5 linked regions of the Xenopus tropicalis genome follow. The protein of the gene in region 5 purifies or fractionates together with the protein of the main gene of each other region. This does not show direct contact. Links are inferred from orthologs where the notes say so. Each region holds a gene or a part of one and is shown on either strand. Other genes may lie near its edges. The genes, in order: skp1, cul2, jun, btrc and arih1.

The links.
Region 1: the proteins of arih1 (region 5) and skp1 purify together in Homo sapiens (affinity purification with mass spectrometry; 4 studies listed by BioGRID and IntAct, with this or other methods). This does not show direct contact. The link is inferred for Xenopus tropicalis from reciprocal best matches to the Homo sapiens genes ARIH1 and SKP1.
Region 2: the proteins of arih1 (region 5) and cul2 purify together in Homo sapiens (affinity purification with western blotting; 3 studies listed by BioGRID and IntAct, with this or other methods). This does not show direct contact. The link is inferred for Xenopus tropicalis from reciprocal best matches to the Homo sapiens genes ARIH1 and CUL2.
Region 3: the proteins of arih1 (region 5) and jun purify together in Homo sapiens (affinity purification with mass spectrometry; 3 studies listed by BioGRID and IntAct, counting the BioPlex papers as one, with this or other methods). This does not show direct contact. The link is inferred for Xenopus tropicalis from reciprocal best matches to the Homo sapiens genes ARIH1 and JUN.
Region 4: the proteins of arih1 (region 5) and btrc purify together in Homo sapiens (affinity purification with mass spectrometry; 3 studies listed by BioGRID and IntAct, counting the BioPlex papers as one, with this or other methods). This does not show direct contact. The link is inferred for Xenopus tropicalis from reciprocal best matches to the Homo sapiens genes ARIH1 and BTRC.

Annotation. Positions count from the first base shown.
Region 1 is NC_030679.2:26,565,833-26,572,490, forward strand, and holds skp1 (S-phase kinase-associated protein 1), read left to right. Parts: upstream 1-3,054; 5' UTR 3,055-3,056; coding exon 3,057-3,153; intron 3,154-3,884; coding exon 3,885-3,958; intron 3,959-4,613; coding exon 4,614-4,757; intron 4,758-5,973; coding exon 5,974-6,114; intron 6,115-6,225; coding exon 6,226-6,261; 3' UTR 6,262-6,520; downstream 6,521-6,658. UniProt on the Homo sapiens protein: Essential component of the SCF (SKP1-CUL1-F-box protein) ubiquitin ligase complex, which mediates the ubiquitination of proteins involved in cell cycle progression, signal transduction and transcription.
Region 2 is NC_030682.2:21,642,579-21,649,064, forward strand, and holds the start of cul2 (cullin-2), read left to right. Parts: upstream 1-2,082; 5' UTR 2,083-2,231; intron 2,232-4,344; exon of another isoform or gene 4,345-4,456; intron 4,457-6,486.
Region 3 is NC_030680.2:86,737,433-86,743,982, forward strand, and holds jun (transcription factor AP-1), read left to right. Parts: upstream 1-2,409; 5' UTR 2,410-2,914; coding exon 2,915-3,853; 3' UTR 3,854-4,576; downstream 4,577-6,550. UniProt on the Homo sapiens protein: Transcription factor that recognizes and binds to the AP-1 consensus motif 5'-TGA[GC]TCA-3'.
Region 4 is NC_030683.2:30,527,139-30,533,708, forward strand, and holds the start of btrc (F-box/WD repeat-containing protein 1A), read left to right. Parts: upstream 1-2,381; 5' UTR 2,382-2,407; coding exon of another isoform or gene 2,408-2,425; intron 2,426-4,662; 5' UTR 4,663-4,723; coding exon of another isoform or gene 4,724-4,742; coding exon 4,743-4,775; intron 4,776-6,570. UniProt on the Homo sapiens protein: Substrate recognition component of a SCF (SKP1-CUL1-F-box protein) E3 ubiquitin-protein ligase complex which mediates the ubiquitination and subsequent proteasomal degradation of target proteins. Recognizes and binds to phosphorylated target proteins.
Region 5 is NC_030679.2:92,184,314-92,190,299, forward strand, and holds part of arih1 (E3 ubiquitin-protein ligase arih1), read left to right. Parts: intron 1-708; coding exon 709-751; intron 752-1,699; coding exon 1,700-1,771; intron 1,772-3,596; coding exon 3,597-3,727; intron 3,728-5,350; coding exon 5,351-5,408; intron 5,409-5,986. UniProt on the Homo sapiens protein: E3 ubiquitin-protein ligase, which catalyzes ubiquitination of target proteins together with ubiquitin-conjugating enzyme E2 UBE2L3.

The sequences.
Region 1 (6,658 bases), about 66 Mb from region 5:
TATATAGGAGCGTGTATATGCCGGGCGGCCATAGTTTTCGGCGGCGTCATTTCTAGGCCGCAAAGGCTGCTGTGTGAAGGCCCTGTCTGTGTTGTGTTGGAGGCCGCGTTGTGCGGCATATTCAAGTTCCTACATTACCCCGGCCCTTACCGGCTACCGTCCATTTCTTCTTTACTCACAGGTTTCCTATTAGCATCTCCCTCTATTTCTCGCTGTTGTTTATCCCCGGGTTCCAGACCCCCCCCTCCCCCTTCATTTGGAAATTACGACCAGGAACTCCGGAGGGCAGAGGGTTACTTTGCGGGAAACTAGAACTATAGTTTTCCTTTGTTGTTTTTTTTTTAAAAGATATTATCCATTTTACTGTGATTTTCTAATTTGTAGTTTATAGGCTATTAAACTTTGCAGATATCCCTCATCAGTCTCAAACAAGCGCTTTCTGCTTTCAACAACTTTAAAAAATGTGTGCGGGCTCATTAGCTTTCCTGTTGAGTGTTACTTGGCTACAGCACAGGGGCTCGCTTTTAATTGGTGGGGGGATGTCAGCTGACCGCTGCAGGGATACCCATGCTCATGGGATGAAATCATTACATTTACCTGCAGTGCATAATGGTTTCACCCATCATGTTGTCCTTGGGATTCCATCCTGAACTACTGTATTGAAAATCACTTACCCCCCCTTAATGACTGGCACAGAATACAGGTATCAGGAGTCATGCCTATCAACTTAACTGGGGCCAAGATGGCCCCAAGAGTGTGGTTTCTGATGTCTGCATTCCCTTGCAGGTGATTGGTAGCTTCCTTTGTAGCAAAAACTGCAGTTCCTGTAAAATAATTGGTTATATATAATAATTGATGATTTCCTTTAGTCTTCTAGTCAAAACATACAGACCCTAGGCAGTGAAATCTAAAGTTGCCCAATCATTTGCTTGTGCAGCTACCTTTGATCATGACACAGCTGGAGGAAAACATGCCGGTCACTGCTTGAGCTATGAGCTTTTGTGGTGACATGCAGGTTTCAGACCAAAGATATTGATATTCTCAATATATAGAGAGATACAGAGAGAGAGAGAGATACAGAGAGAGAGAGAGATACAGAGAGAGAGAGAGATACAGAGAGAGAGAGAGATAGATATAGGTATAGATATAGGACATTAAGACATTCTGTGCATTAAGCTACTAAGAAATGACCTCCCCTTTTAGCAATATACTGAAAGCTGGCCAACTATGCCAAATTTAATTCCCGTACTGACTTTTATATTATTTATTAAGTATTTTACTGCTTCATTATACATTAGTACGCAGGGACTGATTTTTACCTGCAGTTTACTTCCTTTTAGTGCAAAAAAATTGTTGCACTTTTTATTGGCCACCATTGAGATCAACAGACTGTAGCTGGGAATGGTGAAGGCTACAATATGTAGAGTGCCTGAAAAAGTATATGAAAAACTTTTCAGTCAACTATTGTCTTAACACCTGCTGACCCAGCCCATCCATACCCAAACAAAATTAGATATATATTCGGCAGGGTTGAAAATCCTACATGGCAAAGACTGCATTGTCACTTTGATGCCATTCTCGTCTGACAAGTCCATGTAGGCTGGACCCACTCCTTATAAACCATTATATTTGTTATAATAAATTAAACAGTATATTTGTTTACCTGGGCACAGTGGACTCTCACATGGAACTTGTAGGGGATCAGTCACCGTTTTGAAATATCCACTATTATAGAGCAAAAGGAAATTGGTCAAACAATAATAAAATGGCATTTCCAAAAGCTTTCTTGATAATGAGTCTCCTTAATCTAGATCCCATACCTGTAAGATTAAAAATGTGCTTAACTACACAATTAAGATTTCAAGTACACTCTGTCCCCTCTAAGATATTTAATAACCAGTCCTCTTTTTAACAGAATATGGTAATTCCTATTGCCTTGTGCTGTTAGTCACTCTGCTCTGTATGTTGCTGTCTAGGCCAAACTTCTGTTATTTTAATTCATAAAGCCTTTGTTTAAAATGAGGCTGAGTGAAAAGCATGGCTCAGGGATAGCAAATGTCCTCTCTGTAATTGGCTGTATGTCAACTATTGATGTACAGATTCTTTTTCTGGGCAGGATGGGCAAATGGCCTCTAATGCAGATTTGGAGCTTGGCAATTGCCATTATCCTGGCTGCTATTGGCAAAGTCATACTGCAGCAGTAAAATGACACCCTTTGTTGGTAATTACTTTGTTCTGCTTCCATAGTTATACCTGCTCAGTAAGTCTTTCCCACATCATATATGCCAGAGACACTTTCCCTTTGTGTACTGCGTGCACACTAATGGTGGCCAGTGTTAACAAGGGTTCATCCATCTCCAGCTGTCCAGCCATTTGCAGTCGGCTGTTAAAGGAGCAGTGCCAGGTTGACAGCTGTTAGAATTTAGTGCATTTTCCCAATTCCTGCACAGCTCTCTGAAAATTGCAGAGTACCGGTAATTGCACATTCCGGATGAGACCCAAAGCTTTTAGCTCCTTATTCTCTTCCTGGTAGTGGAGGGCAGGGTGCTGGCAACAGTTGGCAGGCCCCTTCTTATTCCTACTAGCTGCAGCTTCTTCCCTTTGCTCATTAGGCCGTGCCAGACCACTGTATATTGCACAGTTGGTGTGGGTCTTGGGCAGAGACTGAAGCAACCAGGCACCAGGGCTGTTGTATAGATGATTATTTTTATTGGCCCTGCCTTACTGACAACCAGGGCATGAAACATGATGTTTGCATTTCATTAAAGCAGAAGGAAAGGTATAGTCACTGGGGGGGTGGTTGCCATGTTAGCCACTCTGTGATTCTACTTGCCTACAATGGCCTGCAGTGCACTTGCTGTGCTTGCTGCCATTTTGTTCCCATGTCTCTCCTGCTCACCATGCTTAAATGTGCTTCAGTGCAGCATCTTGAGTTTCACAGCTGCCTTCCTGATCATCTCTCATTGAAAGTACCAATTGATTTTCTTTCTGTTTTGCTTGCAGTAACTTCACTAAGCAGTACTGTTTGTGTTGATTAATGTGTTTTTGTTTTTCAGATGCCTTCTATAAAGCTGCAGAGTTCTGATGGAGAGATTTTTGAAGTGGATGTTGAAATTGCAAAGCAGTCAGTAACAATTAAAACTATGTTGGAAGGTACTTTTTAAAAAAAAATTCTTTGAATATGTATTCTTTATAATTTTGTCCTCTGGTGTGCAGGTCTTCATTTGTTTTTATTCTCCTAGCTTTGAAAGTGTTGGTGTAAAGGCACATTGGGCAATTGAGTGGATTCTCTCCAAAAGCAATCCCTTTACAGAAACAATATTGCTGGGAATTTTTCTTCTATGTAGCATTTGCATGACCTTTGAGTGCACCTGGGTGAACAGACATTTGCAATTGAAATGTCAGGGGTAATTCCAATCATTTTGTCATCCACTTTCAAATTGGGAAATTTCTTGGGTTTGTGGAGGATTATCTTTTTAGGTAGTAGCTCCTTTTACACTGATAAGAGACAGGTACACAGGGTACTTTAGAAAACATTGTTTGTACAATCCAGGATTTGGAAATGATGGAATAAGGGCTTTTTATTAAAAAAAAAAAAAGTTTTGGTGCTGTTCACTACATAACAGGTACACAGCGTTTCAAACTACTCATAACAGCAGTGATCCCAATATAACAAATAAGTAGCAGTCTTGCTGAAAAAAAATTGTCCTCAGAGGAACTGGTTGTAATATTTCTGTTGTGTTTAAATTTATTTTGTGTAAATTCTTGAGAAATCTCTTATTTGACTATAGTTTTAGAACATTGCCTTTCTGTCTAAATTATCTTGGGTTTTTTTTTACATTTTTTTGGCAAGACACAGTTATCAATTAAATGTTTTTAAACAGATCTGGGTATGGATGATGAAGGTGATGATGACCCTGTGCCACTTCCCAATGTTAATGCTGCAATCCTTAAAAAAGTAAGTGCTATTTAGGTAGTGGTTTTACGTATACCCATACTAGAATACTGGATGCAGATTAGAGATTGTTTTTTTTTTTTTTAGAGGTGTTGGTTTGCTGCAGGGATATAATGCAATGTAATTAGGACAAAAAAATTGTACCAGATTCAGAATTGTGTTAATTAAAAAGTTGCAACAGCCTCCCCCCCCCCTACACACACACACACACACACATTATTTATATTTGCTTATCACTGCCAGAAGAAGAACTACTTATAAATGCCAGGGTTTTAAGGCATATTGGCAAGTAAAAAAATAAAACTGAACTATTGGTTATTAGGAACTTCATCCTGCTGTTTGGGGTTTCATATTCTTGAGTTATGATGTATACTGTTTCAGACCTAGAAACACTTGCTCTCTAATTCAGGCAGTAGAGGACATTGCTCCTATTTTTGGTTTAGCTCTTCAAGTGTAGGTTGTTACAAGATTTACTTTTTTTTTTTTTTTTTTTTTTACTAGCTTGAATTATATTAACATATAAACAACAAAATGATGAAATTGAACATATCTTAAGTTTAGCAGTACCACATTGTCTTGGATTCAGGACCTGGCCAACAAATGCAGTCAGTTGTATAAATCATAAAGATAAATACCTATGTACTTTTATTTTCATCAGGTCATTCAGTGGTGTACACATCATAAAGATGATCCCCCTCCACCCGAAGACGATGAAAACAAAGAGAAGAGAACAGATGATATCCCTGTGTGGGACCAAGAGTTTTTAAAAGTGGATCAGGGAACACTATTTGAACTGATTTTGGTGAGGCATGCTCACCAAAAAACCCAACAGCTTTTATAGAACCCATTAGAATTACATAAGTGTATTTCTAGTACTTGTACTTAGTAGTATTAATAACCTTAAAGGGAACCTGCAACTTAAAGTACCACACAGTCTGAAGGTATTGCACACACAACACAGCCTGAAGGTAGTGCACACACAACACAGCCAGTAATTATTTGTGTTTTTGTCCGAAAGAGGTAGGAGAGTTGATATTTAAAAACCTTGCCATTAACATGTTCCAACAAAGTGTGCTTGTTCTCCTGCACTTGAGAGGTAAGGGTGAGCCCACATATATGAAACGTTGTGCATAATTTTGTCCTTAGTGGCTTCAATAAAGGCATCCACATGGCATCTGCATGTTGCTTCTGAGCAATATAGTTTTAACACACATAATTTTATTCATACATTAAAACGTGGCTGCCATTTTACTTGTTAACACATAACACAACAGTTACTAGAAATTTATACACTAATTCATAAAAGATTTTTAAAAATTTACATACACATGTCCATATATTCCTCAGTCAGCATAGATTTAACTTCCAAACTGAAAATGGCTGAAACTATTTTTTTTTTTTTCATCTCAATCCTATATACATAAATTACACTTGCATATTCATATGTAGTGCTTATACGCCACTTAAAGCACGTATGATAACTTTTCCTCATAAAATACCCTTCATTAATTTAGAGCGAGTCCAAAAAGAGCTACTATTTCATTAATATCCATTTAAGGATTTGAGACCAATACTGCACTGCATATTCTAGATGGGGCCTTTGCCAGTGTTTTCTAAAGTGGGAATATGTACTTCCCCTCTGAGTCTGTATACCTTGCTGGCTCTTCCTTCCGCTGACTGGCATTGCTTGCTAAAGCTAAGTTTATTTTCCACAAGTCACCCCAGCTCCTTGCATATTTTGGAATGCCACTTAGCAGGCCAGTCTCCCAGTTTGTCCAGTTCCTCCTAAAGGATGCTACATTCTTGGTGGCACTGATTGAGCTGCATAACTTTTGTGTCATTGTCATAAACATATATTGCTTCTAAGCCAATTCATAAGCTTTTCTGCAGTCTATTGGTACCATATCAAATACAAGGGAGTGTGAGCAAATCAGGGGTGGGTTTGAGTTCTTGCTGGTCAAAAAAAAATTGGGGGCTGGTTTGATTTTGCTTTTTTTTTTTTTTTTTTTTATCTTCAGGCTGCCAACTATTTGGATATCAAAGGATTGCTTGATGTCACCTGCAAGACAGTTGCAAACATGATTAAAGGAAAAACGCCAGAAGAAATTCGAAAGACCTTCAACATCAAAAACGACTTTACTGAGGAGGAAGAAGCTCAGGTATATATTTATACGCTTAAGTTTATTTCCTTTTACAAGTGTGTCAGCCAATATCTCCACTCCAACAAGAGTATTTATTAATGAACCTCTTTTATGCTATTTTCCTTTTAGGTACGCAAAGAGAATCAGTGGTGTGAAGAAAAGTGAAGTTGCATACCTGTTACCACTGTAACACTGTACAAGTCGTTCCAAATCAACTAGTTGCACTGCTCTGTTTATACTAGACAATTCAGCAGCTTAAATTAGCAGGAGGATGTTTTGCTGCATGTGTTGTGTCTGACATTTTTTTTTTTTTTTCTTATTGAGTAATTCAGATCTTCAAGCCGTGTTTTAACCATTGTAATCTTGTGTGATATTTCCTTTAAAACAATAATAAACCTGTTAGCTGCGTGCTTTGAAGATGAAAGATGGCATCACAGTAGTCTACTCCTGTTCTTGCAGAACTGTGTTTTGACAGAACTTTACATTTCCTAGATTTTGGCTTCTCTGACAAGGCAACTTCAGCAGCAAATCACAATGTGTGCTGTTTTGTGTGTATGGCAAA
Region 2 (6,486 bases), on a different chromosome or scaffold from region 5:
TGTACTTGATTCCAAATAAGATATAATTACCCCTTATTGGGGGCAGAACAGTCCTATTGGGTTTATTTAATGGTTAAATGATTCTCTTTTCTCTCTAATAATAAAACAGTACCTGTACTTGATCCCAACTAAGATATAATTAACCCTTATTGGGGGCAGAACAGCCCTATTGGGTTTATTTAATGGTTAAATGATTCCCTTTTCTCTGTAATAATAAAACAGTACCTGTACTTGATTCCAAATAAGATATAATTACCCCTTATTGGGGGCAGAACAGTCCTATTGGGTTTATTCAATATTTAAATGATTTTTAGCAGACTTAAGTTATGGAGATCCAAATTACAGAAAGATCCCTTATCTGGAAAACCCCAGGTCCCAACCATTCTGGATAACAGGTCCCATACCTGTACAATTAATCTGTTTTGCTATCTCTAACTGTAAAATGAAGACTAATGGTATTTTATTAACCTATTTTAAGTAACTGCAGAGTGGGAGCAGATGGTGGGAACAAATGGAGCACACATGTACTCAAAGGGATGTTATGTGCCATGTTATTCTATACAAGTGTGCTTGGGTGTATTATAGTATGTCCAACCTGTTGCCTTTCAGCTGTTGCCCCACCACCAGATCTGTGGGAAAAAGGCAGGAAATCCCTGGTGTATCTCCAGAAAATGTTTACTTATCTTGTATAAAAATACAAAGAGGTATTTATAAACTATGTACAACAGAATATATTGGAAAGATTTCATTTTATGGTGCCATGCAATGGGGGTGCTGCTTGGTATATTGGTGATATTTAAAGTGTATAAGGGTAATTACTTATAGTCCCCAAAAACATGGCCCTAAATACCACCTTCACCTTATAATGTTCTACAGCAGTGGTTCTTAGCCTGTCTGTCTTGGACCCCTTGAGATTTGGGATGAACTCTTATTTGCTATTCTAAATATTCTTAGAAGCATGGCTGAATGTCTGATACAGCAGTGTTTTTGTATGTCTGTCACATCACTATTCTCCAAGTGAAGTCCTAACCGAGTACTGGACCAACAACCTCTGCTCTATGGAGTTTCATTTGTAATGAATGCTGCTGTATGTTGTGCATGTTGAAGTTTATCTAGGGTGAAGACACACAGAGCTACTAGTAGCAGCTACTTGTCGTGGCTACTAAAATAGACAATGCTGATCATTTACTGATAATTGTCTCTACTTGTGTTTTAGCAGAGGTAATTCTCAGTATTGTCTATGGCAGGGGAGTTTCTGAAGTTTAAATAGCCATAAAAAAGTAGCTGCTACTAGTAGCTCAGTGTGTCTTCACCCTTATAGATACTGTAAAATTGCACATGGAAAATCTTGATTTCCACATGATATGTCTCTTTTAACATGTCTGTATATTTTTGGAACATGGTAACAAATCCATAATACCTGAGAAATCTTCCAAACACTGGGAGAAACTCCCAGTGCATATAGTGATCTGGTTCTTTTGCCACAAGGCAGTAATAAGCATTATAATGGTTGTTCACCTTTGTCTTAACTTTTAGTATGATTTAGTAATTTAATTATTTCAATTTTTGTTCAGCAATTTCAGCAGCGTTCTGGTTGCTATGGCTCAAATTACCTTAGCAACAAAGAAGTGGTTTGAATGAGACTAGACGATGAGTAGGAGAGGACCTGAATAAAAAATAACTGATACAAAGTAATAATAACAATAAAATTGTCACCTCACAGAGCAATCATTTCTTGGCTACTGAGGGGGGCAGTGACCCCCATGTGAAAGTTGGAAAGACAGCAGCGAATAATTTAAAAACAAAAGTAAAGTTGATTATAATAAGTCATTGTGCAAGATTGTTACAAACATAAAGCTCAATAAACTTAAAATAAACAAACGGAAACTTTAACAAATTCGCAATGCCTTTTTGGTGAAATTGGGATAAGAATTGTTGAGCAGAACACAGAAATGATATTATATTGGGAGGCACGGCAGGGGGCAAACAACACAATATAGTCTTGTTGTTGTTATTAGAAGTAGAAGTAGGAGGTGCGATGACAGGAAAAGCAGATTGCGAGCTGACCTAACGCAACCTACCCGCAGCTTCACTCCCACAGGGCGGCTACGTGTGCGTCACTGCGTCACTGCGCGTACGTCTAGCCGTAATCTCGCGTGATGAGACTAGGCGTTGGGCTTGTGTGTAAGACAGGAGGCTGGGACCCTGCACTGGACAGCTTTGCGGGAGGTGTAAGTAGCGCTGTGGGACTGCGGACTGTGCTAGGGATAGCGGGACTGTGGGGCAGCAGCCACTGACTTACCGGCCCCCCTGCTGTCACTGACTGGGAGACTTGAGCAGAGAGGGCGGGAGGCTGAATGTTCCCTTCCCAGCTCTCTGTGCTGCTCGTTTTGTCACAGAAGTTTTCGGCAAGGTAGAGGTGTATAGGGATTGGGTAATATTGAGAATGAAGTTTGGACCCCCCCCAGCCTATGTAGTCCCCATAGATCTCTACATAAGTAAAACTGTGTAAAAGGCAGCAGTACAGCTGTGTAGGGGGAAGAACATGCACAGACACCTGAGCCCTGCCCTTCCTTGTGTCAGCAGCTGACTGTCAGCTGGGGGCCCAGTAAGCCAGGGAAGTGTAGCACAGCTGAACTGAGAGCCAAAACCCAGCAGGCCCTACACGACTGTGTCCTCTCTTCCCCCCAGTGGTTGCACTTTCTATAAACAGAAACCGAGAAACAGCTGATCCACCTTTCCACTTACTATTCTGACAGCACTGACAGGCATGGGGTTGGACTGCAGATTTCCACTCAAAAAATGCATCATTTCCTGTTTTTGCCCCAAATTGGCTCTGTGTCTGCTCTCAAACCATAGCATTGCCTGTCAGTGCAAAAAGAAGAGCAAGTGGAGGAGAATGGATTGGCTTACATGTATACACAGGCCCAGAAACAGCCACATCTGCTTGATCCTTAAGGGTGAAGACACACAGAGCTACTTAGTAGCAGCTACTTGTCAAGGCTACCAAACCCCAGAAAATACCCTGCCATAGACAATGCAGAGAATTGCCGCTGCTAAAACATACATAGAGACAATTATCAGTAAATGATCAGCATTGTCTGTTTTAGTAGCCATGACAAGGGTGAAGACACATGGAGCTACTAGTAGCAACTACTTGTCGTGGCTACTAAAATACAATGCTGATCATTTGCTGATAATTGTCTCTACGTGTGTTTTAGCAGAGGCAATTCTCAGTGTTGTCTATGGCAGGGGATTTTCTGGTGTTTAGTAGCTGTGAAAAAGTGGCTGCTACAAGTAGCTCTGTGTGTCTTTACCCTAAAGAGGCTATTCATGTCTGGTAAAATTCTGGTACTGTAAGGAAAAAATCATGTAGACAGGTATGTACATATAAGCAGCAAGACCCTGATTAGGTTCCACCTGAGGATGGATGTTGATTTGTGAGACTGCATTTGCCCATTAGCTGCCCTCCCCTCCCTCCCTGATTTTGGCAGTGTTATCAGAGCCCACACTGAAATAAGAAGGCAGCCATAATGTCTATGTTGCAGCTTATCAGTTCATCTGCCTGCCAAGTGATGGGAGAATAGTGATGACGTGTGTAGTGCAAAGATCAAATGTTCATGACTAGTGCAATCATTTGCATTGTTTGGGGTGCGCTTTACTTGGTTGGCAGCAAGATTTGTTTGGGTGGAGATCCAGGGGATGAAAAAGATGCCAGAGAGTAAACAGATTGAAAAATTGCTGCAGCGATTGTGAATTCATTTTTGTATTTACATGTATGATTATTTTGGCTGAAGGGCCCATAACCCTAATGTCTTGGCACTAGGCTGGTGCCAAAAAAGCTACTGTCATTCAGGGTCAGCCAAATTCCGTTTTGATATGTACATGAATATGCTAGCACACATCTTCCAACTGAGTCACACTCCGAATGCATAAAGCTTAGCTTATATTGAAGCATCTATAAAAACCATATATGCTAGCGCACATACGTGTATAAATATATTGATTGCCAGTTACTATGTAACATTCTGTTTAGTGCCTCGGTTTGTTCGATTTTGGAGCAGACTAATACTTTTTGGCAACATTTTTACTACCCTTTTATCAGCTAAAACAATTTGTACATTTTGTTGATAACATAGGTAGATATGGCAGGAACAGGAAATGCTAATTGATTAAGTAGTGCTCAGTTTGAGTCTAACTGCTTCGCTGTTATCTGCACTGTCAAGTCAGAGCGCCCTTTAAGACCAGAACATTTATATTTATAGTTAATCACCTGCTCGTATCTGTCAGTGGCTTGTTACTTGGTTTTTAACTTGTGAAATTACTTCTGCTCTTGCAGAAACTGAAACGTAACCTGTTGTGCATACACTTCCTGCCTTTGCCTGTCTGTAACCTCTTGAGCTAACACTTTAGAGTGTCGTTGGACTGGATTACATATGCCACTACTACATGAGATGTAAGGATATAATTAATTTATTTTTAGTCAAAGATAAACAAAGTCTAAGCAGAAAGCGCCTAAGAAATAAGTGAAAGATCCCATATCTTAAGATGTGCTTGAATTATGGAAAGCCCCACAAAATAAGTCTGAAGGTATGCAGTTCAGCAATACTGCAGTATTTCTTCCACCCAGTTGGGTGGTTACTTACAAAATCACAATCTGGTTATAACAATTCAAAATCTATCATAGAGGGAATCCTTACCTTTCCCAGCAGTGATGCAAATCTCACTCTCTCCAAATTTTTCTGCGCAAGATTTTTCACATACAGAATGTAAATATATACCGTAATACAATTTTTATTTCAGTAAAAACTTTCCATCTTAAAAAATGAGCACTCACAAATGCTGCATAGATTAATTGCATTCCATAATAGTTATAAGCCAAACTTCCATAAAATCCTGGATATAGGGTCTGTTAAAGTCCACATTTTCCAACCATTAAAGGAACAGTGTCAAAAACTGGGTAACCGCCTATATTAACCCTGAGTAATGTGGCTGTAATGTTTATAAGTGGTTTGCATATTTTTAAATCCCTAACACATTTGCACCTTTTAGTGAAGGGGGTCTCTCACTGATAAATACACCTTTATGACCACACAGGGTTCTTTCCAAACATGGATCTATTGTTTGTTATACGAGTGTGTTAACACTATATTGGACACTTTATTCACCTTATTCCTTTCATAAAGGTTCAAAGATATTTTACTATTGGTGTACACTCATTGATTATACTATTTTGTATGGTTGTATTTAGTTCCACCTAATTGGGACTGTAAGTGGGCCTACTCACAGTGCAAAATGTGCCACTATGTTTGGTTTATTTTATCCATATGTGATTTGATGGCTTGCTTTTTAGTCAGAAAAAAACTGATGATGTTATTGTGTTAGAGACAAGGCTTCCTTGCACCCACCAGCTCTGCTGGATTTTTAATCTTGTACATTGTGCAGCGGGCATAAAGAACCCAAGCGGTTTATTGTAAATGACCACTTTTGTATTTTGAACAGTTAAATCTAAATGTCTGATGTTTACAATGGTATTCTAAGACTAAGTGGAGTTTTTTTTTATTGGAAAATGTCCATATATGAGGTGCTAGAAGAAAGTCTATTTATGTGTGTAAATAATTTTTTTTTATTATTACACCATAACAGACTAAACAGATATGTTTTGAGTCTGGAATGGAGGGAAAGAGTGGGGATATGAGAAATTAAGAATATCTTCCAGATAAACAGGGTCTTTATTATTATGATATATAATAGCGAAAGGGGCAATTTTGAAGGGAATCCTCCATGTAATTGGAAACCAATGTAGGGTAATGTGGCATTGGCAGTGTCGATGAGTAGCCTGGCTGCTGTATTTTGTATCAGCTGTAATTGGTACAGTCCTTTTTCTGACAGACCATAATACAGGGGCATTGCAGTAATCCAGTCGTAAGGAAACAAAAACATTAAATTAATTTTGTCATTGGCAACCTTGCCAAATGAGCGGATCTTACCGTGTATGGCCAGCTTTACATGGTTGATTTCATTTGCTGATGGCAAACCGCTATTAATTCCTACATCCTGGAAATGTACTGGTTCTTCCAGTTGTTAGGAAGGTAATTATACATAACATTCATAAAATAAATTCACATAGATGCTAAACGAAAAGAAAAATCTTATCCATCTAGATACTAAACATAACACATGTGATTATGAGGTGACTAGCTGGCCTCTTGGTAGTCCCTTATGGATCGCATTGTTCATTTGAAATTCCTGGACTGTAATAATCCATAATGAGCAGTACTGGGCAACAATAGGGGCATTTTTGTTTGTAACCCCATTCTTATGGGGCAAAACTACCTAGAATCATCCTTCTGTGCCATAGACCTTGTGCTACAATGCCACTGGTATAATTGGGTTTTTATTGATTATACATCACTTGGATAGAACAAATATGTCAAAACCATTATAGGTGTATAGTTAAATTGATGGGTGTGGCATGGGTGTTTC
Region 3 (6,550 bases), on a different chromosome or scaffold from region 5:
TGCATTTAATCTCCCATGGTTTTGCAACTACAGGGATCTATAAAAATAAGTGCAAAGAACATAAAAACTTTAGTTTCCCTTTTGTAAGGGGTTAAAGCCCTGTCTGCTGTTTGACTAAATGTACTTGACAAGCTCTGGCTAGATGATTGCAGAGGAGGAGCTAGCTGATGCTCACACACACACACACACACACAAAACATGGTCATTATCTCAGTTTCTCCCAGGACTGGACACATTTCCAGTAACAGGGGAAAAAAAAGCAAGTGCACTCCCTGCAGTACAAAACAAGCAGATCAAGTCCCCAACAAATATTTGATGCTTTACTGCTCATAATATGCTTATTCCATATAGGAGTAAGAACATCCTGTTGAGGAAGGATGTTCTGGTGTTATAATTTTAGAATACATTTTGAGAATGAAAAGAACTGTAATATACGCCGCACTAAGCAAGATTAAAAATACTGCAATCCTATTATACATAAACATGCCAAGTTTAAAAACCAAAAGAATTTATTATGAAATATTAAGAGAATGTTCATAATTTACATTAGTTTCTGTTCCAGTGGTGCTTTATCAGAGTTTTATCAGGAGGCAGTTCACCTGCCCCAAGTGTTTTGGAGTGTGTGGGGGAATCCCACAGAAAGCATGCTACCTCTAAAGCTGGTAGTCCACTGTTCAGAATTAAACCAGAAATGTGCAAGGTGGGAATCCTCACCAAAAATTCATAAAGCAGCAACATATTCCACAGATCTACGCTGGCTAAAAGTTCAGCTGTAATGCCAATTTAAAATTTGACACAAATTACTTGTTACTTTTTTTTTTTTTTAACCTAGGGGGTGGGGTTAACATATTACATGATCTCCTACCAACAACAGTTTAGGAGAAAAATCCTATATCCTATATATGCAATTAGAATGCTATTTGCAAAGCTCAGTCTCAGAAGGGATTTCCTCACCGCTTTCTTCTTTAACCCATTAATAACCTTGGCACTTATTCTTACATTATGGTTTCTCTTAATGTTTTCCTGTACCATGTGGATATACAAAAAAGAAATGTTGCTATTTAACACTTTCAGCAGCTCTTCATGAAAGATGTCCAACTCAGTTAGGGAACTATCCTCTGTGGAGGAATGGCTGGGTATCATGGAAGCTGTAGCTCAGCAGCTGTTAAGAGTGGGTTTAATACTCAAGATCTCTATCAATTTCTAAGGATTTTCTATTCACTTTGGTGATAAACCAAATAGCCTGCCTGCTCTCTACCCATAAAAGCCAGTCTCCGTTCTCATGGATGCAACCTGATCTCCTGTAAACTTTTTAAGCCTCCCCAGCGCTCCCCCTACCTCCTTCACCCTGCTTCCAATCATCCTTTTTTTACTTTCATCAACGCCCACATCATAATCTACACACCCACCCACCAATAAACTCCCTCCCCCACCAAATTAAAAAAAAAAAAAAAAAAAAAAAAAAAAAAAAAAAAACTTTCCCTCACCTTTTCTCCCTGGCTATCCACCCCAGTGCAGAAAGGCATGATCATTAGAATGTAGCACATGCCTACACAACACTGGGACCCTTTTAATAACAATGATGCTATACAGCCTTACATGTTCTCTGTCACTGACACTGGTGTATCTATGCAATGTTGCGATCCTCAAGCTCTTGTTGAACTCCTAGTCACATACAGCCCCACCCCCACACACGGACCCGCAATGGCCGGAGGGCTGCAACTTGGTCTCCCCCGTGTCCTACACAAAGTAAAACAGCGAAGAGAACAATAACTATAAAGCCAGTAAAACTATACCACACTAATAACATTCTACCGAAAATAACCAGTTGTTTCAAAACTACAACTCCCAGCAACCACTACCACATTTTAGTTCGGCAACTAACAAACAACATATTGAAAAACCTGCCATACTGATCGCTTAAACCTGTGGAAATAATCTGTTTCAACTCTGAGTTTTCAGTTTCACCAGCCGACAAACACAGCCCAAGTCCTCCGGTTCCTTATGTGACAGACAACCATTACAACCATATCGCGCTTTGCTAGGAAAGGGATGAGTCTCCTCCGCGGCTTACGACTACCATACAATTGCCTCAAGCCCCTGTCCAGTACCAGGGGGTGAGCGGAACAGCCCTTATGGCGGGAAACCCACGTCAAACTACCATCCCAACTACCAAAGCAAGGAACGGGCACCGCCAACAACAATACGTCAGCCCACAATGCCCAGCGGCAAAGGAGCATTACCTCATCCCATGAGCCTTCGCGAGAGTTAGAATCTTCTAGGGCGGTCGTCATAGCGACCGAGGCTCATTTGGCCTCGCTGGCCCGCCTCCCTTCCCAAGGCTCAACCAATAGCAGGACGTTGGGGTGACATCATGTCTATTTTTAGTGGGTGACCGCTCGCAGATAAGTGTTAGCTGCACGCTGTCCCACAGCCCAGTACAAGTGAGTAGAGCTCACACTGACAGCACTTGTGGCGCTTGGGGAGAAGGAACGTCTAACTTCTCAGTGACTTCTTCCTTGTGTCCGTGTGCCTGACACCTATACTGGGCACACGCACACACCCAGCGCTCGCCATTACATATCTCCGGCGGCGCTTTGGAAACTTTCCCGGGAGTTTATAAGAACTTTTGTGGCGTTCGGAGTACGAGGACCTCTTTGCTGCTAGAGACACAAAGTAAGTCGCATTTATTTCTGTTATGTGCCAGGCTGGGAGCAGTTGTGCTTGAACTCTCACTACGGGACACTGCCAGTTGTAGTTCGGCAGGCGAAGCATAAGTTCCATTTAGAAGAGGGGTGGAGGTGCCATGGGGTTCGGTGTGTCAGCTAACAACCTGTTCGCTCTTCTCTCTAGGCTGGTGCTGGTGTCACACTAACGTAAGGTCCAGTCATCGTCCCTGTCCGGCATCCGTTCTATGACTGCAAGGATGGAACCTACTTTCTACGAAGATGCCCTGAGTGCTGCTTTCGCCCAGCACGATGCTACTCCCTATGGTTACAACAAGGTGCTGAAGCAAAGCATGACCCTGAACCTGTCGGACCCCAGCAGCGCCATCAAACCTCACCTGAGAAACAAGGCAGCTGAACTGCTCACCTCCCCTGATGTTGGGCTTCTCAAGCTCGCCTCCCCGGAGTTGGAGAGGCTTATCATCCAGTCCAGCAATGGCATGATTACCACCACCCCGACCCCCACCCAGTTCCTGTGCCCCAAGAATGTCACAGACGAGCAAGAAGGCTTTGCAGAGGGGTTTGTTAGGGCACTGGCAGAACTCCACCATCAAAACAACTTGCCAAGTGTAACCACTGCCACCCAACCTGCCAGCACGGGACTGACACCTGTATCTACTATTGCTGGAAACACTGGCTTCAACAATAGTCTTCACAACGAGCCCCCTGTGTATGCCAATCTAAGTAACTTTAACCCAAGTACCATCACCACATCATCGCCTTTTAACAGCAACACCATGGGGTATACCGGCCAACATCAGAGTAACCCACCAATACCCGTGCAGCACCCCAGGTTACAGGCTCTGAAAGAGGAACCACAGACTGTACCTGAAATGCCTGGGGAGACTCCTCCACTGTCCCCTATTGACATGGAGTCCCAGGAAAGGATAAAGGCTGAAAGGAAGCGTATGAGGAATAGAATCGCAGCATCTAAATGCAGAAAAAGGAAACTGGAGAGGATTTCCAGGTTGGAAGACAAAGTTAAAAACTTAAAATCCCAGAACTCTGAACTGGCATCCACTGCCAACATGCTTAGAGAGCAAGTAGCCCAGCTCAAACAAAAAGTCATGAATCATGTCAACAGTGGGTGTCAGCTAATGTTAACACAGCAGATGCAAACATTCTGAAAAGGCTTCTTTGGGAAAGAGATGTGAGAATTATTTTGTGGAGGGAAATAGTTTCATGTTGAAACTCCCTGGCTCAAAATGAAAGGCACTGAGACCTGACTGTTCTACGTGCGTGTGCGGGGAGTCCTGACAAGCCTTTAGGTGGAGCCTGTGGCAATGCAACAAGCAGTATCACTTGTCAAGTGCTGTTCCTGCTCTAATGAAACATCAGATACATGTTTAACATTGACCAAGACCTGCATGGACCTAACATTCGATGATCATTCAGTATTAAGAAAAGGTTAAACTGCTAGAGACACTAGATTGCTTCCGTAGTTTTCTTACAAAGGGAGGGTGTGGGAGGGAGGCATACGGGACATTGAAAAGTAAAATTAATGACAAATCTGCCTGCCTTCTACATAACTGTGTATGTGTACATATTTGTTTTTTTTATTATAATATTAAGAAAAACTGAATTATTTCAGTAAAATTGCTTCAAGCATTTGTAAGTTATTTTTATGTTTGGGTTAATAAACCCACTACTTTCTGTAAATAAGAGATATTGAGCACTCTTGAGTTTACCATTTGTAATAAAGTATAATAATTTTCTATGTTTTTGTTTCTAAGGACAATTCCAGACGTTCAATTATATTTAAGATATTAAATAAAAGATGTGGAAATTAGATTTTTTTATTTATATTGATATTTTTTTTTACACTGCAATAAACGTGCATGTTAAACTATCTCCTGTGTATAGTACTTGATATATTGCATGAGTCTATTCAAGGGTATTATATTTTGACAATTATTTGATATGGGTATTGGGCAATATAAAAGTAAAAGCAGAAAAGAACATACTGACCAATATTTTCTTTATATCATAGCACTTGGGGTTATTTATATATGCTATTATAAAGTTCTGGGCTTTTGGCAAGAGTTTGCTGCTGTTATTATATGTTTGAGGGGTTAGGAATGGTTTACAGTATTCTCCAGCCTTATTGGCTAAATAATCATTTCCAAATTGTGCACCACAAATACCAACTGGTTGCCAGCCCTCTTCAATTTTACAAATTGATAAATAGTTGCTTTTCCTAAGTTTATTGAAAAAAGAAAAGTGTAACAAATTGATATAGTAGTAGTAACTAAAGTAGCTACTGATGAGAATATACCAACTAATTTATTAAACTGTAGCATTTTAGAGTCCTTGTTTCTTAAGGTGCTACTGGGAAACACAAGAGGTGTGAAATAAACACATTCCCTTGTAAAATGTACATTTTATAAAAACTTTTTTTTAAAAAAGTCCTTTTTGTGGTGTACTATATGTAAACAATATTTTGTGAAGGAAACTACCCTTATAATGACTATGATTATTGAAGTCTACATGTAAGCACCACTAAGGAAAGTAAACCCACAGGGCAGAGATGACTGGTCCACACTAGGGTTAATGTGCTTGTTCCTCTCAGCTGTGGATGCTAGTGTGCTTTTTACCTATCCTGTTATGAGTGGCAATTAGAAATTGTAGTCACAACATTAGATGAACACAGTGATTTATGCTGAACAAGTTGGGAATAACAGTAATTACATTTGTCTCCTGTTAAAGAAAATTACTTTGTGATCCAGCCATGACTAACCCATATTTGAAAAATAAGCTCTGTGTTGGAATGCATAGGCCCAAGTTGCTTTTTTTTGTGATGTAAATAACATTCTTATAAAAAATATTAGGATGCAAAATGCAGAGGGTTGTATACCAGGTACAATAAATAGGCTGACAGGAAGGATTCAAAATACATACAAAGCACAAACAAATATTTGCACTATTTGTTTTGGCTTGAAACAGGTGGTACATTAAAAAAAATAATACAAATGCTCTTTACTACATAATATTATAAGCATAGTTTCTGTTTTCATAAATTAAACTGAGAGATATGAAAACTCCCAAAAATGAATACTGCTGAAACAGTGTTGCTAAGTATATTTGCAGTGTAATTTTATGTATTTAAAATTCTGAGTGCTACTGTACCAGCAACCAAGGAGAAATTACATTTGCATGCATCTTTTGCAATGGAAACCAGTTCTGACATTAACAGAATGCCATCTCTGGTGTCCACACCTTTTGTACAGAAGTCTAGGGACAGAGTTGCCCTCCTTTACAGCTCCCAGCCTTGATAACACCTCTTATTTCCTCATGCTGGCAAATTAACATTAAATTGATCTGGCTCTCACATGGAGAAAGAATTCCCAACATTATGTAAAAAAAGGCATGTGGGCAAAGTAATCCATTTGTTGGGAAACTGACAATTTGTTGAGCTAACCTTTGAGGACAGTAGTATGTATGTATGTATGTATGTATAACTTTATTTATAAAGCGCTACTTATGTACGCAGCACTGTACAGTAGAATACATTAATATAAACGGGTATTAAAATAGATAAATACAAAGTATTACAATAAGCACAAATAAATACAAGATACAGCTGCAATAATACAAGATAATACAAGATACAGTTACAATAGTGTTCCTTAAGCACTGGTACTAGTTACAGAAAGTTGCACAGAGAACATGTTTTATTAAAACCGAAAAATTTGTAAATCACAAAAGTGCTCAGAAAGTTTAGAGGGTTTTCATTTTTTATTTAAGTTAAATAAATAACTTACCCTATGAAATGTATAGTGTATAGTTTAGTTTTTTTTACTTAGGAATTGTATATACAGAACCTT
Region 4 (6,570 bases), on a different chromosome or scaffold from region 5:
CACTGTGAATCCTATGATCCCAGAAGGCCACCCTTAAATGGCAGTTTTCTATTTAGATTACCCAATGGCACATACTACTAAAAAGTAAATTTTTATGAAAATGGCTTATTTAGATGAAGCAGGGTTTCCATGAGCTTGTTTATGTGATATATTATTATAGAGACCTGCATTGTTTGGGGGTATAGTTTTCCTTTAAGAAGAATCTGTGTGTTGTTGACATGGGAGCAGCACCGGATTTCAGATGAGGGCGCCCATAGGCCGTTCGCCCCACCACCCGCTTACATGCTAGCCCTAAATTTATGCCACCCTAGGCCCAGCCTTTTGTGGCCTTACTAGAAATCTGGGCCTGCATGGAAGTTGGAATCCCCAGTCTTGGACTAGTGTTTGACATGTGACACTAGGGGGCTGATTTACTAACCCACGAATCCGAATGGGAAAAATTCCGATTGGAAAATGAACATTTTGCGATTTTTTCGTAGCCGTTACGACTTTTTCGTAAATTGTCGCAACTTTTTCGTAACCATTATGACTTGCGCGAATTGTCGTGAATTTTTCGTAGCCGTTATGATTTGCTCGTATCTTGTCGCGACTTTTTCGTATTGAGCGCTCGTAAACTGCAGGCAAAACTTTCAGACTTAGCATGATTTTGGAAGCCTCCCATAGGACTCAATGGCACCCTGCAGCTCCAACCTGGCCCAAGGAAAGTCTCCCATAGGGCTCAATGGCACTCTGCAGCTCCAACCTGGCCCAAGGAAAGTCTCCCATAGGGCTCAATGGCACTCTGCAGCTCCAACCCGGCCCAAGGAAAGTCTCCCATAGGGCTCAATGGCACTCTGCAGCTCCAACCCGGCCCAAGGAAAGTCTCCCATAGGGCTCAATGGCACTCTGCAGCTCCAACCCGGCCCAAGGAAAGTCTCCCATAGGGCTCAATGGCACTCTGCAGCTCCAACCCGGCCCAAGGAAAGTCTCCCATAGGGCTCAATGGCACTCTGCAGCTCCAACCCGGCCCAAGGAAAGTCTCCCATAGGGCTCAATGGCACTCTGCAGCTCCAACCCGGCCCAAGGAAAGTCTCCCATAGGGCTCAATGGCACTCTGCAGCTCCAACCCGGCCCAAGGAAAGTCTCCCATAGGGCTCAATGGCATCCTGCAGCTCCAACCTGGCCCAAGAAAAGTCACGATACTGAAGCTTGAATGAATCCGAAACTTTCGTACTCGGCGCAAAGGCTACGAAAAAGTCGCGACAATTTGCGCAAGTCGTAACGCTACAAAAAAGTTGCGACATTATGCGAAAAAGTCGTAACGGCTACGAAAAAGTTGCAACATTTTCCGAAAAAATGCAAAATACTGATCATTACGAAAAAAACGCATTTGGACGCTTTTCGGACGCTCGTGGATTAGTAAATGTGCCCCTAGTTCTACCCTGACTCTTGGGTCCCACTAAAGGTGGCCACTCACGTGGTCCTTGTGGCTCTCATTCCCATCATTGTAATCTTATCATTTGGCACGAGGGTCAAACGATCCGGTTACGCCGATGTTGCTCACCTTAGGTGGGTATTTCAAGGGAAATATCTGCTTTTTTGCCAGCATCAACAGAGTAGCAGATCCTATAGAGTATGGCCACCTTCACTGGGGCTTATGGCTCGCTAGCCCTCTGTCCTCATGCTAACTGAATAGCTCTGCCCTCACACTTTCAACCTTGACCTTCTACTAGGGCATAATCTCTTACCCTTCCCTACTTCTTAAATATATAATAATAATAACATAAATGTAGTTGCACTGCTTTTTCTGCCAGTCAAATGCCTTTGTGCACTGCCCTAATTGAACATTTTGGATAATTCCCAGGACTGAGATACACATTAGAACATTAGATTCACATTACAAATAAAGAACAGGGAGCAACTGTGCAGTATAATTGTATATTTGCCTAGTTTTGTTTACTTTGTTAACTGCACTATTTACTATGAGCAAGATACCAGAAGAGGGTTAAAAAGGGCGTTTCCCTCTAACACTAGGCTTCTGGCTGCTTCCACACATACATGAAAGCTGATCCGTCTATTGTTTACAAGCTATTTCAGATAAGGAAACCACTGATTACACGTTCTACACACATCAGTCGGAGCAGGCCACGAATGCCATTTCCGTATGTATTTACAGTGCTTATCAATGAATCATTGTGTATCGTTCTTACGACAAAAAGTGATTAAAACAAGTTTCCGAAAAACACGAGGAGCTGACCCTGTATGCAAATTTAATCGGAATATATAGTCTTAAAAAGATGTCAACTTCGATTTTTTTCTGACGTTTGTTCCTTGCGGGCCGCCGTAGCGTTCTTAGTTAAGGGAACCATGTGACTATGATGTCATCGGATGAGGAAGTACCTCTCTGAATAAGGGTGTACTGGGGGTGATGGCATCTTATAAAAAGGTAATATCATCGATAGAAAATTTGCTCTAGATAAGCCTATTTAGCTGTACTAATGCGATATTGATGGGTTTGTAGGGTTTAGGGGAGCGTTTGTGAGACGCGCTTATAAGTAAATATGTCGGGGCTTGGTGACTGTGCAAGCTGGGCTGTCGGGTATCACCGGCTGCATTGATTGCGTATTTGCTTTGTCCTCTTTGTACTCTTATTACTATTATACATTGATGTTCTGCCTGCGGATCTCAAGCCGATGTTAAACTACCACTTCCAATATCGCCGGCCGCGGAGCCCGCCTGGGGTTGCTGGGAGTGGTATGGCTGACGATCCGCGGTGCTATATAACAATACCCTCAGCGCTATGGAGCTTATATCGGGCTGTGATAGGAAACTATATTATCTTGGGGGAAGGATGTCCGATTCTAGGCCCTCAGCCCCTACTGAACTACAAATCCCGTCATTCCCGGGAGAGAATGGTGGGAATTGTAGTTAATCGGCACTGCAGTGGCGCAGTCTCAACACATAGGCATTGCAGCATATCCAATTGGATGTGGGGTCCTTTTTAAAATTGCACATTTATATTGCACTCACTACAGGCCAAGGGTGCTTGTGGGTGATACATGAAGCATTTGATGGTAATTATAATAGATATATATATATATATAATATCATTCCTTTCAGTGGAATGCTACTTGTCCACCACCAAATTTTAATTAGTATGGTAGTCACTTCACACCTGGCTCATCTCCTAGAACAGTTCCTAGCTTCCTGCCTTTTGGGGATGCTGGGAGTTGTGGTCCAACAAAAGGCAAAGGTTTGCCCTTTGCTCATAACAATTATATTTTATGAAACACTCCGCTTCAATCTCATGGAAAATAGGAACCCGTGATTTAAGCAGCAATAGAACAAGGCCAGTCCATTGGTGGCTTCAGTAGCTCATCCACTGATTTATTCACCTGTTCTCAAGTGATTATATCTGGAAAACCTGCACCGGTGGAGTCTTTAAATAACCCAAATATCTTGTTTATTTTAATACGCGTAAAAAGGTGTGTTTTAAGGAACTAGCCTTAAATATATATCGTCAGAATTTTAAGGTGACTGCAAAGGAATTTCTGTGGCCCAGGAAAGGTGGAGTCATTGCGGGTGCCAATATGTTAGTAATGGGATTTACTGGGTGCTCCTTTTTTGAAAAAATTGCACTGAGCAGGGTAAAAGAACTACCAGAGCACCCCAGTGCTATTCCAGGCTTCTAGTACTTGTTTATGCCCATGCCTGGCAATAAGATAAGATGGCGGTGCAGTGTTTTGTTTACATTTTGGTACATTTTTTTTTCTTAAAGTAGCACAGGCATGAGGAAAAAACTTGAGGGTTCGAAGCCTTTTTCAGCTGGATTCAGGCAAATCCAAATGTCTTGCCAAACTGAATTCGAACCCTTGAAATCACTTGACTTTAGGTCACTCGATTAAGGAAATCACAAATTCACTTGCGCTATATGTGCATGTTTTTCCCATTATCTTAATTTGGATATGCAATTTAGGGCTCAGATTTGGTTAGCGATTCACCTGAATCCCTCATGAAAGATTTGGGATTTGTCCAAATAAAAATAAAATGTGGATTCAGTGCATCTCTAAAATATGTAGTGATTGGATTCACTTGGGTAACTAGCAATTTGTGGATAGGTCAGGGCCTATTTTTAATTCTTATCCAGGCCTGGCTAACATACTAACTCTCAGTGAATCCACCTTTCCTTGTACTTTAAAACATGAATATAATTTAGCACATGAACATATGGAATTAAAAAAAAAAAACAAAAAAAAACCTGCTTCATGGAAAGACCCAACTAAGAGACTCAAGGGTTTTATATGGCCTTTTCTAGGGATTGTGTAGTCCATGGATGCCTGAAAACTTCATAGGATCTGCCCACACTCAGATGGATAGAATTGACCAATGTGCTGGGAAAATATAGCTTTGCTCCAAAGGCATGTACTAAGTGCTTTGTCAGTCCTCACTTAAGCCCAACAAAACAACCTGGTTAATGCCCCCCCCCCTCAGCCCAATACCTTTGTGGGTGGGAAAGCTCAAACTCACACTACTAGTTCCATTTGATTGTTCCTTCAATGCATTTTCAGATTAACTTTTTAATTATAAAGTGAAGTCTTTGTTTAAAGTGTAATCAATTGTTATAGCCTTTTACTACCTCTGGTATAATGATTTAACTGTGATCATTTTATTTTCTGGAATCAGCTTATATGAAACCATAACATTGAGACTTAATTAAGAAACAATTTATATAAACTCTAAACAGTAACTGGAAAAGGACTGAGATGGAAGGATTTTCATGTTCTCTTCAGCCACCAGTAAGAACTTTTATTTTTATCTTTTGATTTATTTATTTATTTATTTTTGTGAACAAAAACAATTTGATTTAGCTTTGTTTAGTTTTTTCTAATCATTCTTTTTATGGTTTAAATGTTTTGTTCTGTTTTCTTTAAAAATTTAAAAATAAGTCATTACAGGTATGGGAAATGTTATCCAGAATGCTTGGGACCTGAGTTTTTTCCTAAATGTGGAAGCTACTAAACTTTTTAAAAAAAAAAAAACCAAAAAACAAATTAGGATTGCTTTCCAAAGGGTTTGTTACCATCAAGTACAGGGTACTGACTTATTTCAGAGACTAGCGAATCAGTCAAATGTGAACAATTGTTTGAAAAAGGTGTTATGGCATATGGGATTGTCTGATTTTTGGAGCTTTCTGGAAAACCGATTTCTGCTTTATAGATCCCATACCTATATTTCCATGGATTGGATGCAAAAGTTTTATCCTAATACTTGGCAGTGCTTGCTATATTTTAGGGCTATGCCACACAGGTTGAATTCAAGCTTTAGGCACCTCCATGATTTCAAGCTCAGTATGAAGGAGGCAAAATGCTTGAATTTGATTTTTTTTTTTTATAGACTTTCATAGTAACTGCTCCAACCATGCCATTGCACCCACAGGTCACCACATGCTCAATCACAAATTTCCAGTTAGGAAAAGCTTGACCCATGGGTCCACTGACTGAATAGTTAGCATAGGTGTCTAAAAAGTGTCATATTCAAGTGGATTCCTACTAATCTGGAATTCTCAAAACAGTCATTCACCCCATGTGCCCTAGCTATAAGGCCTGTTGCACGTAGGGGTGTTCTGTCTGCCACTGCCCTTGGACAGATAGCAGCAGCAAATCATCTCCTACTACTACTGAATGGAAAGCAACCTATCAAACACACACAGAGTGGTAGGAGGCAGTGCATTTTCGGCCCATAGTCTACTTGATAATACTATGTGTGCTTTTAGTTGGACGCTTCTTATTCAGTTGTATTTAAAATAATGACAGGCATTTTGTGCACCATTGTTCTCTGCCTGAGAGACAGTGGATAAAGCACAAGTGTGTCATAGGCCTTATAGACTGTAAATTACAAAAAAGTGCCACAGCACACCACAGAGAATGTATATCACTCACATCAGTCCTTGCACTATTGGGGCATCCCACAATGTTATGTGACACACACTTCTGTTGATTACACCATAACACTGCTGTTGTCTGACTGTGCCTGGCACACAACATAATGAAATGCAAGTTTGATCTGGCTTCATCAATTCGTGGTTAAAGCCAAGATGTGTTGGTGTAATGTGGTTGGCTACCTGTAGCAGGCTATGGAGTCTGTTTATTGGGACAAATAACTTTTTTTCATACAATTTCTACATCTAAATGTGGCTTACAAATAAAAATGGTGGATCTCTACTTTAGAATAAAAATACAAAACAAGACAATATTCAGGTTGTCTCAGAGTATCAAATATATGCTAGTTAGTTATAACCTGATTTTCTGCTTTAATCAGTGGAAACTCAGGCATTTGAAAGGTTTTTCATCTAGGTCAAGGATGCAATCTTTTAAGGAATTTTTATTGTCAGTCATCTGCGGAAGAGCTCCTTTTAAGTTATCATCATCATTTTAGTATAATCTGGCCCATAAATATGTAATGGGCCAGTTTATAGGATCAAAATAAATTAAACTTTACTTGTTTATTATTAGCTTATTTTGTTAATAGCGTCAAGGACATACTGCTAAATAGTAATTTTAAGTATTTAGAAAGGCCTGTTGTGTGAGCACT
Region 5 (5,986 bases):
TGCTAAAGAGAAAAATTAAGGCCTTAATGTGCATCCATGTAATTTTGTATACCACCCTTTCCAATTTTTTTCAATAACTGTTGCCTTATGGCACTGTCTGTTAATGTTATTTTAAAATGATCTTTTAAAACTTATATAACGTATTTCTTATAAAGCATGATGAAACATGAAATGTTAAAAAAACAAAATGTGAATGGAAAAAGTGGAAGACATAAACACAATATTAGAGAGAGACAAAATGCTATAGAAAATTAGCAAAACTTTGTCATATTTGCTAGACACTGAAAATGGACAATTGGAGCCTAAACAAGTTTACGATCTCTTGACTGCACATCAGCTTTGCAGATTCAGATATTGCAAATGCAGTCTCTCATCAAGAAGGGTATTAGTAAATCTACACAGTTCTCTTCCTGATCAGGAAATTTCCTGTTGTACTCTGCTGAAACAAAGAAGTATATTAGCATTGAAATTGAAATTACTACCCTAAACAAAAAAGTAGTATATGCAGTAACATATATCTGTATGTATCTATATGAAGATCTTTTGTTTTTTTTAATAAAGATTTTTTACTTGTATGTTATGTTATGTTATGTTTATGAATGTATTAGAAATTTCTTTTTTATATATAATTTTTGTTGTAGTGTTAATAAGGAGTTTTAAACATTTGATTCTCTTTACATTCTCACTATTTCCTCTTTTACTTTACAGCTTTAACTGTGGAGAAAATTGGCATGACCCAGTTAAATGTAAGGTAAGAAACCATAAAACAAACACACCCTGTTTGGAAATTATAATGGAGAATTGTGTGGATTTAATATCAATGTTTAAAGGGAAATCAGATATGATGGCTGAAATGACAGCTCTTTGCACCATTTTAATGTTAAAGTAAATCTAAAATTCTGTGGTTAATCTTCATAGTTTATGAACCTACAGAAAGCTCCCTTTTTCATCCAAAATGTGGTTATCCAATGGAAGTAGTGGTTTCTACTGTGCATGGCCATGGTGGTGGGCAAAACCCCCTGTGCTACTGTTACACAGAGTAGCTAAGGGTTGCAGTTACAGGGTGAGGGGACCTTAAGCTGCAGACACTGATGTGTTTGTGTGATGGCAACTCTCCTTTAATGGTTGTCTTGCTGCAGTTTTTGGAATAGTCAAACTGTAAGATATTAATTACTGCTAAACCTTACCCAACAATCCTCCAGGGGCTCAACCCCACAGTTTGGAAACCTCTTGTTTTTTTGATGTCCCTGTCAACAGCTATGGCATACCCCATTCTGTTACTATCCTGTCAGTGGTGTTAACATTACAGGCATACAACTCTGTGCAGTAGGTTTTTCTTTTTAACAAATTTATTAGTAGTCTTTGATAAAAATCAATGATCAGACAGCGTGATTATCACAGGGGAGAGATTGCTGTAATAGGAGACATAAGTATCAATGAAAAAGCAGGATGTTGGTTTTAGAAATATTAGGGCCACACTACATATGGAACATGTGATATGCAGCATATAGTATGTTGTATTTTTGTTTAAAAATAATATTTTGTCATTGTAATTTTGTGCAAATTGTTAGATGTGGCAAAAATAATGATTTGGTTTCAAGTATCAGTGGTTATTACTATGGCTTTATGAAACCCTAGAAACTTAAGAAAGGGAATATAAAGTGCATAATGAAAACATACAAACACGTTCTCTTAATAGTGGTTAAAGAAATGGATTAAGAAGTGTGATGATGACAGTGAAACATCAAATTGGATTGCAGCTAATACCAAGGTAAGGAATGAATGTTTGAGACCACACTATGTAATGTAATTTTAGTGGGAATGGACAAATGTATGTTAAGGATTGTACATGTGGTAATGGTTGCTACATTCAGTTGTTATAATTATTTGTTTCAATTCAATTGTGCTTCTTTTAGGGCGGTTGGGCATATTGCGGTAAAGATTCACTTGTTTGGGGAGTGAATCTTACAATGTATGGCCATCTTAAAGAGGTTGTTCACCTTCAACGTCCAAATCTTATTAAACCACGAACAATGCACTCAGTGTGTTAGAAAATCCATTTTCCATTAAAAAAAAAAGTAAAAAGACCATTGTAAAAGCCACTTTAAAAGCTACTTATACCTGTTAAATTAGTCCTGCTTCTGTCTCTCTGATCAGTTTTCTGAAGGGATGGGCGAGGCCTATTTATCGCTGACCCCCCCCCCCCCTCCCAGCCATCGTTAAAACGGGCTGTATACTGCCTTGTTCAATAAATAGGCTCTGAACATACTTCTTGCATATTGTTTTTATTAGGAAAAAAATTTCTCTACTTCTCTTACACAGTCACATGTGGGCTTAATGGATTCTGTCATGTATTTTATTTTTAAATTACACTGTATACATAGCAATTGACCATTTCAAATTTTATTCTTGAACCAACAAATGTATTTTTTTAGTTGTAATATTGGTGTGTAGGCAGCCATCTCAGTGCATTGTGCCTGAGTCTGAGCTTTCAGAAGGAGCCAGCGCTACACATTAGAACTGCTTTCAGGTAACCTATTGTTTCTCCTACTGCCATGTAACTGGAAGAGTCCTATTCTGATATCTACCGGGAGCTGCTATCTTGTACCTTCCCATTGTTCTGCTGATCGGCTGCTTTTAACTCAGTAGTAAAAAAATGTGTTTGCTTTTAAAAAACAGATTTGTAGGATTCTGTTGGAGAAGCTCTATTAGGGCTCTCCCTGGGTTGCCTTCCCCTGCCATCCCACCGGCGAACATGTAAGTCGCCGGCGGGACGCGGCGGCGCGATTTCGCGCAAATCGCCGAAAAAGACTCGCGAGGTGGGATGGCAGGGGAAGGCAACTCGGGGAGATTAGTCGCCCGCGAAAAGGGAGTTTTGCCGCGGGCGACTAATCTCCCCGTGTGCCAGAGCCCTTAACGTTTTGAAAAACATGTTTTCCCATAACAGTATTCCTTTAAGATGACCTTTGCTCATTCCTCCTTTATTTTCCTATTACAGTATAGTTTCCTTTTACTATTTGCCAAAGTTTGCACATTACTCCTATAATTAGGTAGTAGTAGTACTTTTTTTTTTTCATTAGTAGGAGCTCAATGAATAGGGCTTGTTCTGGCCATACTTTGCCTATAGTTTTAATTAGCACTTTTCATTTTTGTTCTTAGGAGAGGTGTGCTGTTTCAGTCTGCAAATGGGATACTAGTCTAGCAGGATACAAACCTTACCACTTCTATCTACGTTAGGCCTTTTGCTCTTACCTGAAATTAGCTAGGCCACAGAACAGAAGGGAAATTCTACTTGACTTCTTTTCAGACTCATAGCTGATGTACAGCCTGCAGTAGAAACCTGATACATTTTTTAAAAGATTTTGTATACAATCAAGGTGGCATTGTACAAACACAGCATTAAGCTTTGTAATAATAATGAATAAAACTATCTGAATTTTTTATTAGACCCCAGAAAAAAATACCCCCTTTCTCTACGTTAGAGAGAGAAATTTTCCAACCTTAATGCCTTATTAGTTAGTTATAAGTAATTTGAAAATGGCACACGTATCATTCTTTTCCTGGTTTCCTTTTTTTTTTTTTTCTTTGCATAACAGGAGTGCCCAAAATGTCATGTGACAATAGAGAAGGATGGAGGTTGCAATCACATGGTATGCCGGAACCAGAATTGCAAAGCAGAGTTCTGCTGGGTTTGCCTGGGTCCATGGGAGCCTCATGGTTCTGCTTGGTAAGTATATAAACAGTTTAAGGCTATTTACAATCACTAGGTTCAAAAGTGGGTGTACTTAATTATACCTACAAATATACAAGCTGCTTCAGCTTATTGATACTTGCTCTATGCACACATTTGCTCTTTGTGCAACACCTTTTGGCTCAAGGGCATGTCTCCCCTAACACCTGCCTAAGCCAAGTGTTAGTATAGGGATTCTTTTTCAAATTGTGCTTATATGCCCTCACTGTTGGAACATTTGACGTTCACAACCCTGCATTTGCTCTTAGCCAAACTAGCTAAGTTCTTACTCCTATCTCAGCAAACCAGGTCTTTATGGGCTTTGTTTCATGCCAAAACAGGGAAGGCATGAAAGGACAGGGAAACTGTTCCCACGTAGTAGGAAGGACAGCATTATCAAAAATGTCGTTATCAGTGCCATCAATGGCATCAGAGGTGCTAGTCTACATCATGAAAACAGCCCCTCAGGCTGTTTTTCTTCGAGAATTATGTATTTGCATAGGTAGCTTTCTCTTTGCACCCCCAAACCCAGACTCATCTGTCAGCCTATAATTTAGTTTTGTTTACTACTTTTGACTAAACTAAACCATGTACATTTATTTTACTACACCTGTTTGTGGGATTTGTGCTTGACTGCCAAATAACCTTGTGGTTAGTCATCTATCTGCCTGAGAGATTGATAAATATCATAGAATGCCACTGCTTCAATGCCAGCAACATTTACACCACTCACTCCAGTGCTGTACAGTACAAGCCACTTGCTGTAGAGTACATGGTGGTATGTTAACTTTTAGAATGATGGAGAGAGAGTGCTATTGGTATTCGTTTTTTTTTTTATTTGTGTTTTTTCTAACATTTCCATTTTTGTTAAGCATCTTTCTAATTTGGAATTTCAGCAGCTATCTGATTGCTAGGGTCCAAATGATCTTAATAACCAGGGAATGGTTTAAATGAGATGCAGAAATATGAGTAGGAGAGGGTCTGAATAGAAAGATAAGCAATAAAAAGAAACAATAAAATGTTGCCTGCTGGGGTCAGTCACTCCCATTTAAAAGCTGGGAGTCAGAAAAAGAAGGCAAATAATTTAAAAACTATACAAAATAAATGAAAAAATTAAGACCAGTTGAAAAGCTACTTAAAATTGGCCATTCTGTAACATACTAAAAATTAACTTAAAGGCGAAGCACCCCACTTTGTAAATGCAAATATACAGATAAGAAAGGTTCTGTACAAATATAAACTAGATTTGGATATTGACTGTGGCATCCTGTTAAACTTTTTAAAAAGTACACATTTTACGTTTAAGGGCTCTGGCACACAGGGAGATAAGTCGCCCGTGACAAATCTCCCTGTTCGCGAGCGACTAATCTCCCCGAAATCCCATCCCACCGGCGAAAATGTAAATCGCCAGTGGGATGGCATACGGGGAGATTAGTCGCCCGCGAACAGGGAGATTTGTCGCGAGCGACTAATCTCCCCGTGTGCCAGAGCCCTAAGGACCCCATATACATTCCAACATATTTAGTGTATATCAACAGGTTTAATGCAAAGTTTATGATCATCTCAAGGTAATTTCTGGACATTATAAGCATTCCCATATCTTACATTGCTCTCTTACAGGTATAATTGTAACCGTTACAATGAGGATGATGCAAAGGCTGCTCGAGATGCTCAAGAGGTGAGTAGAGCTTCCATCTTCTAATGAAATGCTGCTCTTTTTTTTTTGGTAGAGATTGGCAGGCCCACTATACATGTAGAATACATACATCAGATATTTTGATGCATACCGTATATACTCGAGTATAAGCCAAAACCGAATATAAGCCGAGGTACCTAATTTTACCTAAGAAAACTGGAAAAACTTATTGACTCGAGTATAAGCCTAGGGTGGGAAATGCAGCCGCTACTGCTAAGTTTCAATAATCAAAATAAAAACCAGTAAATTACATAAATTGAGGCTTCAGTGGGGTATATGTTAGCTCTGTAAGTGGAGAAGAGGGTCAACAAAAACAATATGAGTACTACCCCATGCTCACTGCGCATTGGCAAACTGGCACCAGACCCAGTCCCGGAGGACACGTAAAGGGGAATAAGTATTGCGACTGGGAGTGGGCCAGGCACTGGAGGGTCTGGTTGCAGGTGGCCTAATTTGCAAACAAAGGACAGAGGGTGCTAGTCTGGAGGGACCCATGGCACCCAACTCGAGTATAATCGAGTATATACAGTACTTATATTCACATTTTACAGTTGCTTCTT